Linked DNA regions of Saccharomyces cerevisiae S288C. The gene in region 2 interacts genetically with the main gene of each other region. Each region holds a gene or a part of one and is shown on either strand. Other genes may lie near its edges. The genes, in order: UBA3, SPT2, AAH1 and PRI2.

What was found.
Region 1: mutations in SPT2 (region 2) and UBA3 together harm fitness more than expected from each alone (negative genetic interaction), as found in Saccharomyces cerevisiae (2 studies listed by BioGRID).
Region 3: mutations in SPT2 (region 2) and AAH1 together harm fitness more than expected from each alone (negative genetic interaction), as found in Saccharomyces cerevisiae (2 studies listed by BioGRID).
Region 4: mutations in SPT2 (region 2) and PRI2 together harm fitness more than expected from each alone (negative genetic interaction), as found in Saccharomyces cerevisiae (2 studies listed by BioGRID).

What each region holds. Positions count from the first base shown.
Region 1 is NC_001148.4:678,724-682,732, reverse strand, and holds UBA3 (NEDD8-activating protein UBA3), read right to left. Parts: upstream 1,521-4,009; coding exon 621-1,520; downstream 1-620. Other genes in the region: ISA2 (Isa2p), read right to left, coding at 1-513; ROX1 (Rox1p), read right to left, coding at 1,934-3,040; YPR064W (uncharacterized protein), read right to left, coding at 3,363-3,782. UniProt on the Saccharomyces cerevisiae protein: Catalytic subunit of the dimeric UBA3-ULA1 E1 enzyme.
Region 2 is NC_001137.3:498,670-502,815, forward strand, and holds SPT2 (Spt2p), read right to left. Parts: upstream 1,680-4,146; coding exon 678-1,679; downstream 1-677. Other genes in the region: RAD4 (Rad4p), read right to left, coding at 1,961-4,146. UniProt on the Saccharomyces cerevisiae protein: Histone chaperone that stabilizes pre-existing histone tetramers and regulates replication-independent histone exchange on chromatin.
Region 3 is NC_001146.8:357,337-361,285, reverse strand, and holds AAH1 (adenine deaminase), read right to left. Parts: upstream 1,691-3,949; coding exon 647-1,690; downstream 1-646. Other genes in the region: THO2 (Tho2p), read left to right, coding at 1-362; YNL140C (uncharacterized protein), read left to right, coding at 1-369; ammonium permease MEP2, read right to left, coding at 2,334-3,833. UniProt on the Saccharomyces cerevisiae protein: Catalyzes the hydrolytic deamination of adenine to hypoxanthine. Plays an important role in the purine salvage pathway and in nitrogen catabolism.
Region 4 is NC_001143.9:351,577-356,245, reverse strand, and holds PRI2 (DNA primase subunit PRI2), read right to left. Parts: upstream 2,754-4,669; coding exon 1,167-2,753; downstream 1-1,166. Other genes in the region: DCW1 (putative mannan endo-1,6-alpha-mannosidase), read left to right, coding at 3,622-4,669. UniProt on the Saccharomyces cerevisiae protein: DNA primase is the polymerase that synthesizes small RNA primers for the Okazaki fragments made during discontinuous DNA replication. In a complex with DNA polymerase alpha (DNA polymerase alpha:primase) constitutes a replicative polymerase.

The DNA.
Region 1 (4,009 bases), on a different chromosome or scaffold from region 2:
TAGGCTACCATTGATGATTTTGAACGAAGAACCGATCAACTCATTAGTGTATGTCAGTGTAGTGTTATTCAAAATGTTTAGTGATTTACTATCAATTATCACTCGACCCTTATCTTCGGGTAACACGTATATTATATCCTTGGAATCATCATCGTCAAGGTCGTCTGAAAACTCCTTGTCTTTGACATCATTCTTAATATCTGGCTTGGTAGCGGGTTCTAGAGTTAGATTGTACTGGAAACCGTGACATCCACCACTTTCCACACTAATTCTTAAATTTTCCTTACTATTGCGGTAGATCTCAGCTAGTCTGTTGGAAGCCCTCTCAGAAATAGATAAGTTTAACCCAGGCGTCTTATTTATTATTCTTTTCGGTGTGATCAACGGCTCCTTAGTGACCAGATCCGAGTAAAATGCTTTGCTATGAAATAAAAAACATGTTAGGGGAAACTGGCGTAAAGTTGTGGAGGGACGTCTAAAGTTTAGTCTGGTAAACAATAATTTAGCCTGCATACCTTCTTTACTGTGCAATCACATGTACAAGGCTCTCTAGGATCTCGACTTACTTGCAAGATGTTTAAACAAGTGACACCGGCGGATGGTATTATTCATTAGTAATACTAGTTGGAATTGGAATTTGAACAAACAGTACAGTCGGGTAACCGCTCGAACTTGAAACTGTACATAAAACACCCTTCTGAGCAGTTAATCAAAGTGAAATTATTGCCGTTTTCCAGGTCGATTAAATCATTATAAATCTTAACCATCTGCGTACAGCATGTCGCTGCAACCATCGCATTCGTAGTGCTTACACTAGGTATGATACTCTTTATTATACCCAGGATAAAACTTGTTGATAATTTTTCTGTTGAGATGCTAAATTGGGCAGCCCTTTCGCAGCACTTCTCCAGCAGAAATTCCATATCCGCCGTAGACTCAATATTTAAATCAGGGTATTGTATAGTTGAGACATACTCCACAACATGCTCAATGCAGCGAGGATTGTTGGCGATTGTACACATTGGCACAGTATCCTGCTGCGAGGGCAAGGTATCAATGGAGCACTCCCAGCATGCAGTGATGCCTGGAATGATTGTTTTTACATGTCCCTTGAGCCCCTCTGTTCCACCATCTATGAACGGGATGCAAATTTCATAATTGGACTCCAAGGTAAGCTTCACGAGAGTCTCATTGATGAAGCGACGAGGTTCAATGGCGTCCAGCCCCGAGATTATGAACTGGAAGTCTTTGTAAAAGCTCGGGGGCAAAGTGGTCAGGTCCTGTACGTGCGCCACAACTTCCAATTGAGGGAACCGCGTGTTTACATACTGGGCTGCCACTTGAGCTTTCGGTTTGCCTATGTCCTTATCACAAAAAAGAAATTGTCTATTAAGGTTGGTTAGCTCGATTGTGTCTATATCTACAATATGAACCTGTTTAACAAAGCTTAACATTGTCAAATTCTTCAGGATTTCGCATCCTAGACCACCTGCGCCTAACACCAATATCTTGCAGTCCATCCTCGTCGCTTTATTATCGATAATATAGGTATACAATATCTCATTGATTTGTTTTTTAAGTTTAAAAAAAAGGGCTTAAAAAACGACTATGCTGAAACATTATACAATAATACATATTTTTTTTTAAAGGAATGATATTATTTGTGAGGTGAATATATACGTGAAAATTGAGAATATAATTTTATATATTCAAATAGAATTTGTAGACTGTTTCTTTTTTCTTTTCTTTCTTTTTTGTCTCTGGGTACTTTGTTTTAATTTTGACTTTTATTTGCTGTTATTTTACATATTTTTCAATTGTTCTTTTGAGGCGATTTAAACTTTTATTAAACAGGAGCCAAATGCATAAATTTTTAGTTAAAGGGAATATAGTATAATATAATATAACGGAAAGAAGAAATGGAAAAAAAAAATCATTTCGGAGAAACTAGGCTAGTTTTAGCGGTGACCTCAGTGTTGCTTGAGTTTATAATTTGATGTAGAGGAATGTTTTGGTTTGGTATATGAGGAATGTGATGATGCGTAGGGGTAGTTGTGGACAATAGATTGTTCCTGGTGTGAGACAGTGGTTTGACAATATAAGTTGGTCCCATCTGCTTTAGCTGCTGGTACTGATCCAGTTGAAAATCTTGCAGAGAAGGTAATAGAGGGGGAGGTAAATATTGATTTGAATTGTTGATACTGTTTAATCTGTTGTTCTCCAGTACAGAGGAGTTCGGAGAAGAGGAGAATTTCCCAGGAGAAGATGTCGCAGTTGTTGTGGATGTGGTAGTTGTAGTTACCGGTGTTTGACTGCTGTTGTTGATAATGGATGAAATAAAGGGCAATTGAGGGGTCGAGTTAGCCCTTGGTTGAGCTTGAGCGACGTTGAGGTAATGATGTCTCGTTGAAGGGTCGTGTGGAGCTGAGTAATATGGAATAGAATTTAGTTGAGATGACAGCTGTGGTAGGTCTCTTGCCGTCTTATCATGCGTCAAAGGTAGTCCACTTAAAGATCTGGAGACCATATAGTTAGAAGTATTAACAGAAGGAATAGGCAACCTCTTAAGATCATTGTTCAATTGGAACTGATAGCTGTTCGAGCTTGACACCGAGGAAGATGGTGAAAGAGAATGTGCTCTTTTCATAAGAACTATATTGTTGTTAAAGGGCTGTTGTAATTGCGGTTGTGACTGTTTCTGCTGCTGCTGTTCTTTCTGTTGTTGCTGCTGCTGTTGCTCGATTTCCTTCAAAAGTAGTTGCTTCTTCTTAGACTTTCTTACCGGCTTGTATTTGTATTCAGGATACTTCCTTTCATGTTCTAGTTTCTCCTTCTCCGCTAGATTTTCCCAGTGTGCCTTATCTTCCGGTTGTAAGCCCTTCCACTTCGTACCAATAATTTTAGAAATGTTTGAATTATGGGGTATTTCCACACCTTGAGCGGTCCATTCGTCTATTAAGATCCTGTGGTAGTGCTGTCTGAACAGAATAAATGCGTTCTTGGGTCTTGGAATCTTAGGTGTAGAGGATTTAGGATTCATTGTTGATTGTCTAACTGCGTTCTTTTGTGTGAAGAAGTATTAGTATTTTCTGGAATAATGAGGGGTGAAGAGGGAGAGTTAAGACACCGTAAATGTATAATTATATGCGAAAATTATAAAAGAAAGCAATGAGAAGAAACATTAAAACTGGAAAATAGTGCTATATTTAAGTAAAACTTCTGAAACTACAATTAGCAAATAAGATAGAGCAGAAAAGGAAAATGCAAGAGCGAAAAAAAAAAAACTTTGTTTAAGACCGTTACATTACGCAAAGTGAAAACGAAGAAAATATAATAGCAAAGAGCACTATAATAGTAAGAACCTACACACAAAAGACACAAAGAACACCGGCAAGACAATACGAGGAAGAACAACAAAAGAGGCAGCAACAATAGGCCCTTTTCTTCTTTGTCAGCAATCGCCAAGTTCTAGAACAAGGTTTTCCTACCAGATTTCCAATTGTTTTGCATAGTAATTCCCGGTAGTTCCACGCGGCCGATACCTCGACAGGCCAATGATATCCAGGGGATTTGTCGGCCGAGCCGAAGATCACCTGCCTCTCCGACGTCGGCTTTGCAGCTGCGGCAGCTCCTAGCGTAAGTAGCAGGAAAAAAAAGAAAGAAAATACTTTAAAGTACGCCTGCACCTGGGTTGCTCTAAACGGGAACAAGAGCCGGTTCCGATAACCGCACACTATTATTTCTAATCCCTCTACGTAATTGCTAAGCACACATGACTTCATACTTGCGTCACCCCGATTTTATTATTCCCTCCGGTTAAGCAAACGCCGCACCCCTGAGTCCGCCAGACCGGCCGCAAGAGAACGCAGTGTGTGTTCCTGTCTCTTTGCACGAACAAAGGAGATAGGACGGCACCCAGGCTCGCTAGGCGGCTACATGACTAAATGCCCAAGTTTCGTGCATTATGTAGAAGAAAATAGACGTCTGTGTAATCATTTCTTGAAGCAAA
Region 2 (4,146 bases):
GTATGATGTATCACTGTCGTTGTAGTATTTCTCGGGAAGTTTTTCACTGGCAATTGGAGGTTGCTAGAGTTTCTTTTAACGCATACCCTAAACGCTTGTTTCTATTTTAATGACTACTTGAATCCTATCTAACTGGTGACACAATTTGTTTCATTTTTTAATATCTCACCTAATATATCCTAATAATATGAACATACCATAGCTCTTGTAAAGCTGGTCCATATTTATGTTTAGTTTCCGAATGCTTTTGTAAGGAAACGGGTTGTGGAAAAAAAAAAATACAACTACGTTGCCGCGAATCTTGTTGAAAAAGGTCTCAAATTAAGGCAAAAATGATACTGGAATTGTTAGTCTTGTATAATCGATCAACTGCAACAACCAAGTCTTTAAATTTTCAGTCCGTCTTGAAAGAATAGTGAAGGTTCATTTTTATTTTTACATAGTAAAGTTTATAGAATTATGGGCGATACACAATATAAATGTTCTAACCCAACTGATGCATATCATCACTGTACGTTTGAAAATCGGACAGGCAAACTGGATAAATGGAAAACGCAATTACAAAGGGTATGAAAATGAATGTAAGAAGTGAAACAGTGCCTCGAAACAGTTCCCAAACTCTCTACGACTTCATTAGTCATTTCACGTCCATATATCAAAACATATATCAATATTCCTTAGCGTATGCCCTTCTTACGGCGTCTCTTCTCCTCTTCATGCTTTTTTAACCAAGCTTCCTCACGTTTATCCTCTAACCTTGCCATTTTTCTTGCCATTTCCTCCTCTTCCAAGATTTCCATCTCATTTGCTTCCATATCATCATCCTCAAGCTCATCGTAATCGTATTCTGACCGCTTCTTGCCTCTATTGAACATAGCCCAAATTTCGTCACGATCATATCCGGGACCATTGCTGTGTTTCGATTTGCTGTGGTAACCTTCATCTTCATCGTCTTCTATAAAATCATCCATATCGTTATCTTCTTCATCATAGTCATCCTGGTATCTTGATTTCTGTTTTCTAGATTCTAACTTTTCTTTTAATCTCCTATTAGGTTGAGCAAATCCATTTGTGGGCAAGTTGAGCTTGACGGGCTTGGGTGAGTCTGATGATTTTATGCTATTGCCTCCAGAAGATACTCCACGCAATGTTGCGCCAGGGGATGCTTTCTTTTGTGGTCTTTTTGAACTTTTGAAACCTGGCTTGTTAAAATGTGGGCGTTCCTTAGTTACGGGTTCCGATGACTTAACTTTTGGGGGCTGTTTCTCATTATTTTCCGCTTGTTTCATTAGCTCTTCAAATGACATCTTTTTGATAGGTTCAGGTTTCTTCCTTACAACTGGCTTGAGTGGCGCATGACTTGCTCCAATAGACCTCTTAAACCTAATTCCAAGGCCACCTTCATCATCGTCATTCCTTTCTATTTTCTTTTTCTCAGATCCAGATGAGGTGCCACGTTTCCGTTTTACACCACTTTTTTTAGCCAAAGCACCATTCTTTAACAGTTCCTGCCGCCTCAGCTCCTTCAATCTTTTTACTGCAGGATCTTCGTCTCTTATGTAATTTTTGGGTAACAAGGAATACTCTTCGTCATTCTTCTTGGGTAATGGATCTTGCACTTGGGCTTTTGATGCAGTCGTTGATTTTCGTATTTGGGAAAGTTTGGAAAGAAAACTCATAACTAAAATATTTCACTTTGAATAGGACTCAAGTCCCTGTCCCTCTCATCAACTTTTATTTTCAAATTACACTAGTTATTTTATTGTATTCATATATTAATCTGTGGCACTTGTCCATGTGGGAATATCTTAGTCGAACAAGAAAAATAATCATGTTAAACGAAAAAGTTTGAAGCCAACTAAGTTCTCATTCATTACAAAGTATATACAAAATTCCTGAACATAGAATTTCTTTATTAAAAACATACTTTCCTAATTATTCAAACCGTTTCAGCCTCATTTCAGTCTGATTCCTCTGACATCTCTAGTTCTTTCATAAAATCCGAATAATCCTCCCCGACATCGTCGTCTGTAGCACTTTCCTCCGCTTTGTCAACAGAAACATAATCTAAACTATCTTCTGGCTCTGAAGGTTCACTATACGGCCTTGCTTCGTGGTTTGCTATACCTGGTAGGAACCCACCTCCCATAAAAGTCTCCGTATTATCGTGATTGTCCGCAATATTCTGTTCCTTCGTAACGTTAGGTTCTTCCTCGGCAATTTTACCATATGTGGAGTTCAGCTTGCTACGAATACGCAGTTTTAGCAGTAAAGTATTCCAACTCTCCAAAGCACCAAGCAAATGTTCCTTCCTATTATCATCCTCTTGAATAAACTCTATTCCATCAATAGCGGTTTCAATAGCTTCTCTGAGCCACTTTGCAACAACAATGCCACTTAAAACTGGCTTAACTGTACTGCCGCGTTCAAACTTAAAAGAAGTTACAGCAGGTGCAAATTCCACCCCCAAAAACCTAGCAGCTTTAATTGCCACAGGATTCTCAACCAAACAACAGTTACCAGGTATCATCGTTGGTGCAAAAACTTCGATGTTTCCAAATGTATTCTTGGTTATTTCACCGCTCGCACTGGCTAATGGAGGGATGTATAATTCTGTGTCTTCAAAGCTATATAATCTTTCATCTTCTTCTTCTGCTTCGCCCTTAGGCCTTCCAACTGTCCTCTTTATCACCTTTTTACACCTGCTACCAGTTTTTAAAATTCGGCCGTTCATGTACCATTGTCTAGCACTTTTCAAATCCGCAATATCTCTTTTTGCATAAACTTTCAAAACCTTCCCAACTTTTCCATGTACTTTTAAATATCCACACTCTTTACATCCTGGCTTTACAATTTGAGTCTGTTTGATATCTTGTTCTAAAACATAATATGGGTGGTTTTTCAAATCCTGCACCGAATCTGGTATGCCTTCACTTTCATCTCTCTGAAAAAAATATTGATCTTCGTAATCATCAATTTTGGTTCTCTTTCTATGGTGAAGTGCTGTTATCACTTTTCTGAACCATTTCTCACCAAAGTCATCTTTAGTAATTCTTCTTTTTCTTACTTTAGAGTTCATCCATTGGGCATATCTTCGAGTTACATCTCTACAGCCATACTTCCGATCGTAAGCAATCACGTACCTCAACATATTTCTTTCGCAGCACGCCACGCCTTTCGGTGCCAACTTGGAATGAAGTCTGACCTGTTCAATGGTTTTGAGATTTACTGGGTCAACAGTTATCCATTTCTTAGAGAATTTGTCCCACACTTCACACCAAAAAATCGGATACTTGACCATATCTTTGTACGCATTGTTTCCATTCAAAGAAGTGTCAATCTTCATATTGGTAAAATCTGGCGGTTGACATGACATGATAAGTCGTGCGTTAACATTACAAGCCCTGAGCATCGCAACGAAACCTTGCACTGAAATATCAGGATCTCCGTGACCTTTACTGACGGCCCTTAAAAAGTCAGATCTTTTCAACGTCTTGAATTTTCTTTTGTTATTGGCGCTCATTTCAATTTCTTTCCAGGTTCTCATATAAAGTCCCACATTATCATATTTTTTAGTGATCTTCCAGTGTTTTTGCCATAACTCCATGCATTTCTTCAACCCATCTAATAATTTCCTAGTACTCCTAAGTGGGAGTTCCTCATCTTTCTGAGGATGCAGTAGCTCAAACACTTTCTCAGGAACTAAGTTGCTCAGTTTTCTAGACAAGCGCTTGCTGTTAATCCATTCATTTCGTATAAATCCATGAACCATCAAGCAAACTAGATACAACATGTGGAAATATTTTCTCCTTTTCCGTTCTTCATTAGAACAAACGTTGCGGCTTGTCCTTCTAGCATCACTATTCCTTTTACTAGAGGGCTTAATTTCAACAGATATATCTTCTACACCGGCCACCTCATTTCCATCTGTCACGTCTTCAAATTCCTCCGAATCATAATCTTCTTCAGATGACTGGATTTCCTCTACACTATCATCCGTCGGTACCGTAACGACGCCATCATCTGAAGAATCTAAGTTTACAGTAACAACGCTTTCTCGTGGCAATTCATTCAACCCTGTTTTAAACTTCTTCTTGGCATCTGGTAGGGGCTGGTTCTTCCTTCTGACTCTTCTTCTTCTACTCA
Region 3 (3,949 bases), on a different chromosome or scaffold from region 2:
ATCAAAGGGATAACCGCTTACGTGAAGAGTATAAGAAAAACAGTTCACAACGTTCACAATTACGGTTTCCTGAAAAGCCATTTCAAGAGGGCAAAGACAGCAGCAAAGCCAACCCTTACCAAGCTTCATCTTACAAGCGCGACTCGCCTTCAGAAAATGAAGAAAAGCCGAATAAAAGATTCAAGAAGGATGAAACAATTAGAAACAAATTTCAAACGCAAGATTATAGAAATACACGAGATAGCGGTGCTGCCCATAGAGCCAATGAAAATCAAAGGTACAACGGAAATAGAAAGAGCAATACTCAGGCGCTTCCGCAAGGTCCCAAGGGTGGGAATTACGTCAGTAGGTACCAGAGGTAATTACTAGTACTTAACATACCCGAGCTGAATTTTAACGTGTACTTTGATAGTTCCCGAATTGTAATCTCGTGAAATACAAAAGGTCCAGCTAATGCTCGTATAATCACTCAAATAAGTTTGTAGAATTCTATTGTATCCTTTCCCACACAAAAGGGGATGTAAAAAGCATCAAAAACATCGAATGAAATTTGTGCATACACATAGTGTTATAAATTTACAAAAAAGCGCTTATGAATCGAAAAAGACTTTCAACAAAAATATTATACAATGTCTTGCAAATGGTACTAATGCGAATATTTAGTGACTACTTCGTCCACTCTACTTAACAAACCGTTCTTTCTTTTATCGTCACACCATGAACCTTTAATGGCGTTCTTAGCGATACGACCCCATGTTTCATGGTCCCAGTGTGGGAAATCTTTCGAAACTTGAGTGTAGACATCTAAGATATAACCACCAAAATAGGCGGGGTCATCAGAATTTAAAGAAAATGGAACATCTCTGTCAAGAAACTTTTGTAGTGGTAACTCTGAAACGGATTGGACTACTTGTAGCTTCACGTTGGAGAGAGGACAAATAGTTAGCATGGTCTGGTCGCGCGACAACCTATCCAATAACTCCTCGTCGTATTGACTGTTGATACCGTGATCGATTCTTGTTACTTGCAACAAGTCTAAAGCATCCGAGACGAATTGAGCGGGGCCTTCTTCACCTGCGTGTGCAGTTAGTTTTAAATCTTTATTCAATGAGGCGGCCTTTCCGTAACATTCAACAAATAAATGTGGGGGAAATGGTTTCTCAGCAGAATCTAATCCTAAGGCAGAGATAGTACCATCTTTAATAAATGGGGTAGCTTCTTCGATAGTTTTCAAACATTCCTCTGGTTCAATGTGTCTTAACAGACACATAATTAGCTTGGATGTAATACCAAATTCAGAGAAGGCTTTGTCACAAGCTCTTTGGAAACCTTTAGTGACTGTTTCTATGGAGATGCCCCTAGATGTATGTGACTGAGGGTCGTAAAACACTTCAGCATGGACCAAGCCTTGTTTGTGAACTTTTTTAAAATAGGCCCACGCCAAATCAAAGAAATCTTGTTCACTAATCAAGACATTAGTACCAATATAATAGTAATCTAAGAAATCCTGCAGATCACGAAACTTCTTATACTTTTCGTTTAATTCCTCGACCGATTTAGGAAAACCTTCAGGTAGAATTATATCGTTTCTTTTAGCTAATGGGAACAATAGGTCAGGTTCTAGAGTACCTTCCAAATGCAAGTGATGCTCACATTTTGGTAACTCCTGTAAAAACTCCACAGAAACCATTATTTTTTTTTTCTTTTCTTTTGTTAGTTCTAATGGTAGTTATTATTTCAAAATAACTATAAATACACAGGCCTGCTTGTCAATTATTCATTTGCAAAAGATGTCGCTTTCATAAGCCTTATATGTTAATTTTTTTCAATCTTCGTTGGCATGCGATGAGGTCAGTTTCCTGCGCCATTTCAGTGCAGTTTCGAGAATTTTAAGATTCAAAAAAAAAAAAAAAAAAAAAAAAAAAAAAAAAAAAAAAAAAGAAAAGAGATGGAAACAGTGAAAGATAAGGCAAAAAGGAAGTATATCAAGGTTTTTACATCAAAATATGTCTTCTATAAGCGATGAAAATTTGCAACCAAAGCAAAATAAACCTTGTGCTCTTTTCCTGTTAACAGCATATATAGGGTATATAGAGGCTTTCTTAAAGAAAATTTCTTGCTATCATGCTCTGGAGATGCTGTATATTATAGTGTGCACAGTTAAAGTCATCGATTATGATAATAACATAAGACAAGAGAAGTAATACTAACGTCTCCCCTCATCATTCGGAGTTATCAAAAAAAGAAAATATATCAAATATTAAAAATAAAATTATTAAATGAAGCGTTACATAAAGATTAAACATAAAATCATAGTCTGCTTGAGTATATCATTATACTATATGGTCAGTGTTCTTAGTAGAAGAAGCGTCGGAAGGCGTAGAATTCTTTTCTGCGTCTGTGTTACCCACAATCTTATCATCAATGTTTTCATGAGGAGGTGGCATTTGTGCCGATGTTTTAGATCTGATTGGTTCTGGGATGTAAGCAGTGGATTCCTCGTATGTAAATTCACCAATTTGAGCAGCGTCGGTACCTAATTCTTCCTCATCAGCACTTAATCTTAGTTTTAAAAATGGAATGGCATTCATAGTTAGAAGCAAGATAGATGTGACAGTAACAGTCCAGGCTAGTGCAGCGCATATACCTGCTAATTGATAACCAACTTGTTTATAGTGATGATTGATCCAGCCACCATCAATTGGACTAATGTAAGAGCCTGCAGTGGCATTTACATAGTCTGCAGCAAAGATACCAGTTAATACAGAACCAATACAACCACCCACACCATGGATAGAGTAACAATCTAGACCATCATCGATGCGCAATAGACTCTTTAAGTCAACAGCAAGGTTACATCCTGCACCAGTAACCACACCAATGACAACGGCTGACCAGATTGGCACGAACCCGGCGGCTGGGGTGATACCCACTAGGCCAGCGATGATACCTGAACACAAACCAACTGTAGTCCACTTTCTTCCGCATCTGAAATAATCGATAACCATCCATGTCAAGCCACCGCAAGCAGCAGCTAAGTTTGTGGACATAATAGAGTACCATGCTCGTATAGTTGCATTACCTGCAGAGCCTCCGTTAAAGAACATCCAACCAAACCATAAGAACACTGTGCCTAAAACCACCGAGGTGACGGAATGTGGTTTGTACTTGGGCATCCCTTTACGTGTAACAGGGTCATTACGCTTACCCAGTATCAAAGCGTAAACTAGACCACCATGTCCAGATGTTAAATGGACACATAAACCACCTGCATAGTCCAAGCTACCCAATTTGACCAACCAACCCTCGGCATTCCAGACCCAGCATGCAATAGGACAATAAACAATAGTCATCCATAAAAACAAGAACACCATCATAGGAAACAACCTTGCCCTCTCGCAGGCACCACCTAGCATTAGGGCACCGGTGACTGCGGCAAACATACCTTGGTAAACGGCAAACAGTATATCGGGAAGAGAACTGACACTAGATGGGGCTCCTAAAACGTTACGAAACCCAAAGAATTCCAAGGTACCAATAAAACCGTTACCTCTAGTGTTGTGTGAGAAAGCTAATGAGTATCCCCAGAAAAACCATTGGAAAATACACACGGCGGAAGCCATCATCGAGGCCCAAAGCAAGGATAAAGCATGCTTTTTCCTGGATAAACCAGAATATAATAAACCGATACCTGGGACCATAATCCACACACCTGCTGAAGCCACACCGATCCATCCCATGTTGGCCAAGTCAAATTGTGTATTCAAATCTGTTGTCAACGAGTTACCACCCGTTCCTTCGCCTGTAGGCGTACCTGTAAAATTGTAAGACATTGTTGATATTGTATTGTAATATATTAAGTATGATATATTACAAAACTAAACTTCTTTCAAAGCTCTGTGCAGACTTATTATTTAAGAAGGATATTTAATTTGAAAGGACGTGAAAG
Region 4 (4,669 bases), on a different chromosome or scaffold from region 2:
TCGTATGTGCAAGAATTATGTTTCCACACTCTTACATAATGGCCTGTCAAGAATAATACCCGTTTGCATGAAAACTAAATATCGAAATAAAAAAACAAAAGAAGAAAATTGGTCTCGCAGAAAAAAGCCCGTAGACCGCAGCGTTGCATTCTTCCCTTTTACCTAATATGAAGTTATCGTTCATTCCGCAACATTCTAACTTATTCCCGTGAGGGGTGGGCGTGCGATTGGAATTAGTCTTTACAATTTGTAAGCTCTACAGCAACTTATGGGTGGGCACGCACTGTCCCTAATATTTATCATCGCATCGTGCAAATCCGTCTACGCAGTATCTAACTTCGAGTGGGCTGATTTTGCATGTAACGTTATTGTGGCTGCTTTTTTAGTCTTCGAAAGAGCCGACCGCGTTTATCCTAGACGAAGGGGTGCCGTTTTAGGTCCACGGAAAGATAAAGACGATATCCATCAATAATATCGCACGAAGTCTAATCAGGGAGCGGTGCAAAATAGTCTTCTATACTTTTTAGTCACAGAATACCTGCATAAGGAAATATTAGATCTTCCCGGTTTTTTACTTCCGCTCTTGAAAACCGGATCCTCGAGGTTGCATCACGGCATTACCAAATCGGTGAGATACTGTCCCTCCCATGCGTTTTAAAGGCCAGCCACGTATCCAGAAAACGCAGCACCTGCATTTTTTGGTGGCGGAGGCTATGCTGGAAAAGGTAGTTCTTCCACTGCAGTAACTTCTGCCACAGTAAATTGGCGTGGATAGGCCCTGCAACATATTGCAGGTTTAAACGGAAAGTGTCCCCGCTTGTAATGGAAGAAAACGGTAAATTTTAATGAAGTGTACAGGCATAAAAGACAGGCGGTTAGTTGTTCTGTGTTGCCTGTCACAGAGGAACAGCGCGATAGCTTGCAGCCACAAAATTATAAGGTTTCTCTGGCCAGCTATTAAAGTATGAAAAAATTCGGACAATATACATATCTCGGACGTTTTCGGAGCAGTGCAGTCACTGGTATTGTACAGCGTTTATCGTTTCTCTTTTTTTTTTTTTTTCTCACTAAAGAAAATTTTTGACCATACTTACAGTAGACTAAATTACGTATACTATTAATCCTTTTTAGTTATCTCTTCGCTTTTTTCCTTTTCCCTTTCTGCACTAATGATTACCATTATTGAATAGTTTTTCCTTTTCCAGCTTCTGCTGTTTCTTTTGCAGTTGCCTTGATCTTTCGAAGTATAGGTTAGGATGCGCGATATGCGTTTGCTCGCCAATTTCCAAATCCGCTGATGCAGAGTTGTGTGTCATTTCAAACACTTTAGTGCAAGCAATTGTGTATTCACCTTTCTGGCAGGAATCCAGAACACTGATGATCTGCGCTTGGGTCAACTTCATAGAGCGCAATTCTGCAGATAGTCTCTCGTGACTCCAATCACGGAAAGGGCATCCATGATAATCTCCGCGCCCAGGTCTGGGCTTGGAAAGGATAGTGTGACAGTCCCATGGTTTGTAGTTGATTCTGTTACCTTCAAGACCGTAATTATGCCTGAAGCTGTAACGGTATTCTTTATTGAACTTCTCCATTGTCATGTTCCCATTTCTTGTAAATGCCTCAGACCAAAATTTTAACGCTTCATCAGCGCTCAGGCCGATACCTTTCAAAAACAGACTCAGTTGTTGTCTCCCATAATACCTCAAATGATGGTTCTTTTTAAGACCCTCCATCAGGTTTTTGATACATAGCGGATAGTTTGAGCTAATCTCTTCAGACCAGACACTTTGCGCATTAATCTCATCATCTACGTTCTCACTGAATTGGTTTGCCTTTTGCTGGTTGAAATCCGCGATAGTGTACCCCGACGAAAGATGATTTAGAATTGGTAACAACCGGTCATCCTCATTCAGTCTTGGTAAGTACTGGTACGTTTTTATTAACTCCTGGTTCAATTTGCTAGCAAACTCATTAGAAAGTAAATTCAATTGCTGGAATTGTGGTAAATATGCGTACCCGTCCTTCAAAAACACTAAACGGTTTCCTACCAGTTCTATCACATTTTCGAAAGGTAATTTTATGAATTTTTCCTGTTGGAAATACTGTTTTCTTTGATGTTCCTCGTTTAAATTCAATTGGAACTGTAGAGACGCAGAAACTGTTTGATACAACTGATGAGATAATTCGGCCTTTTCTTCATTTGAGATAAACTGTAGTAAGGGTAAGTCCAATGATTGAACAAATTTTGTTTGATCGGTGGAGGTTAGCATGTTAAATCTAATTTTGAACAAAAACGTTTCAGCCCTGACGAATTTTTCCCGCAGTTCTTTTGAACGACAAAAGCACAATCTTAAAATGAAATGAGAGTAGTAATCCTTTTTTCTGTCTTCTAAACTCTCTGTGTTGAAAGGCAGTAGTTTTTGGAACTGCGGCTTGATAATGGTTTCAATTTCTTTGATCGATTTGTTTCTTGAAAGGCAAGATTCGATCTCTAACAGAATTTTGAGACGATCGATTGCCCAGATCTCAAATTGTTCCAACGTTATTTCTCCCTGTGGTGGTAAATCGTAAAATGATAATTTAGACTCATACAGCCTAGCGTAAAGTTTTTTCTCTTCTTCAGATGAACTTGAACTTAAGATGATCTGGTTAGCTGCATTTGTGTTGCCTACGTCCAATTCGCTTTTGACAATATCATCGTATGAACTAAAATTCTTCCTTGAGGCAATTCTTCTTTTTGACTGCCTGAACATTTCTTCTCCTTATTGTGCTTTACCTGCTGTCACTGGTTGCTCCACCTGGGTAGTTATCAGTCCTGTCAAAGTTGTGCAAATTGGAGAGATGTAGATAGTAAAAAATTTACTTTTGCAAAATCACAGGATTTAATATCGAGTTTTACGCGATTCCCCGCGACGCGTAATTTCAAATCAAGTTAACTATAAATGAGCAGGAAAAAGCAAATAGAGTGAGCAGCAGATATGTAAGGCAATATTGAAACAAGAAGAGACCTGTCGTATCACCTTTGGCCTGATAAAAACAGTGTTTCCATGTCTGTCTGTAGCAGCGGAAACAATCCTACGCCGTGCTTCTGGGCTCTTGATGATGTAAGATGTTCCGTTTCATGAACGCACTGGATCTCAGCTTATAACTGTTGGTTCAGAAAAATTCAATCATTTATTTAAAGAATGTACCGTACGATGAATATACGCTATAAATGCTTCCATATATGTATAAGTGTATCGTACTATATTCGTAGCGGTGTCCCGTCACCCGGTTTTGCACCCGTTCGAGGCGCGATTTAATTTCGTACATCCAGAAAGAAAACTGGCAGATGGAAATAAAGCTCGGATTTCATGATGATCATAGGTACTCTTTGTATAATGGGCTCATCTATTATATATTCACTGTTACTGTGTTGATACTCATATTTTATAAGCAGCTTAATAGGTGTGCGAACGGGAGGATTTTTGGTAAAAAGAGGCTTAAATTACAAGATACGAAAGGGTCAAAACGCTAGGGAAACCTTTCCAGGACATATAATAGTGGATACAACAAAATACACACCACTTTTTTTCTGAGCTTTCTTTCTTTTCAGTCTGTTTTAAAAACGAACACATAAAAATGCTAGTAAATAAAGTGATAGGGTTACTGGGTGTACTCTTCGCAACAAGATTTACAAATGCCGTCGAATTGGATCTAGACAACTACGAATCTTTGCAAAATGCTACTTCACTAATTGCCTACGGTTTAATGGATTATTACACTGGTAATCAGTATGGTAAGACGGTCGGTATGTTTTCAGATCCGTACTATTGGTGGGAAGCCGGTGGTGCCTGGGGCTGTATGCTAGATTACTGGTTTTTCATGGATAACGACACCTATAATGATGAAATTATAGCAGCAATGATACATCAAGCTGGTGATGATAATGACTATATTCCGCTAAATCAATCTACCACTGAAGGTAATGATGACCAAGCCTTTTGGGGTATTGCTGCTATGACTGCCGCGGAGAGAAACTTTACTAATCCTCCCGAGAATGAGCCTCAATGGCTATATTTAGCACAGGCTGTTTTCAATACCATGGCTTTGCGTTGGGATGCCGATTCCTGTGGTGGTGGTTTGAGGTGGCAAATTTTCGTTTGGAACTCTGGTTACGATTACAAGAACACCGTTTCTAACGGTGCCTTGTTTCACATAGCTGCAAGATTAGCAAGATATACAGGTAATCAAACATATGTTGACTGGGCCGAAAAAGTTTACGAGTGGATGGTCGGTGTGAACTTAATTTCTAATGGTACCTATAAGTATGTTTACGATGGTGTCAGCATTGATGATAATTGCACCAAAGTGACCTCATATCAATGGACATATAATCAAGGTTTGCTGTTGGCTGGCTCTGCCTACCTTTACAACTTTACGGGATCAGACCTCTGGCACACAAGAACCAAAGAGTTTTTGAACGCTTCCCAAGTGTTTTTCCATGATGGTATTGTGTATGAAGCTGCTTGTCAAGGTCCAAATTCTTGTAATACAGATCAACGTTCCTTCAAAGCCTATTTTGCCCGTTTCTTAGGTGTCACTGCACAACTAGTGCCAGAAACTAGGAACCAAATTATGTCTTGGTTGAATACATCTGCCATTGCGGCCGCGAAATCATGTTCTGGAG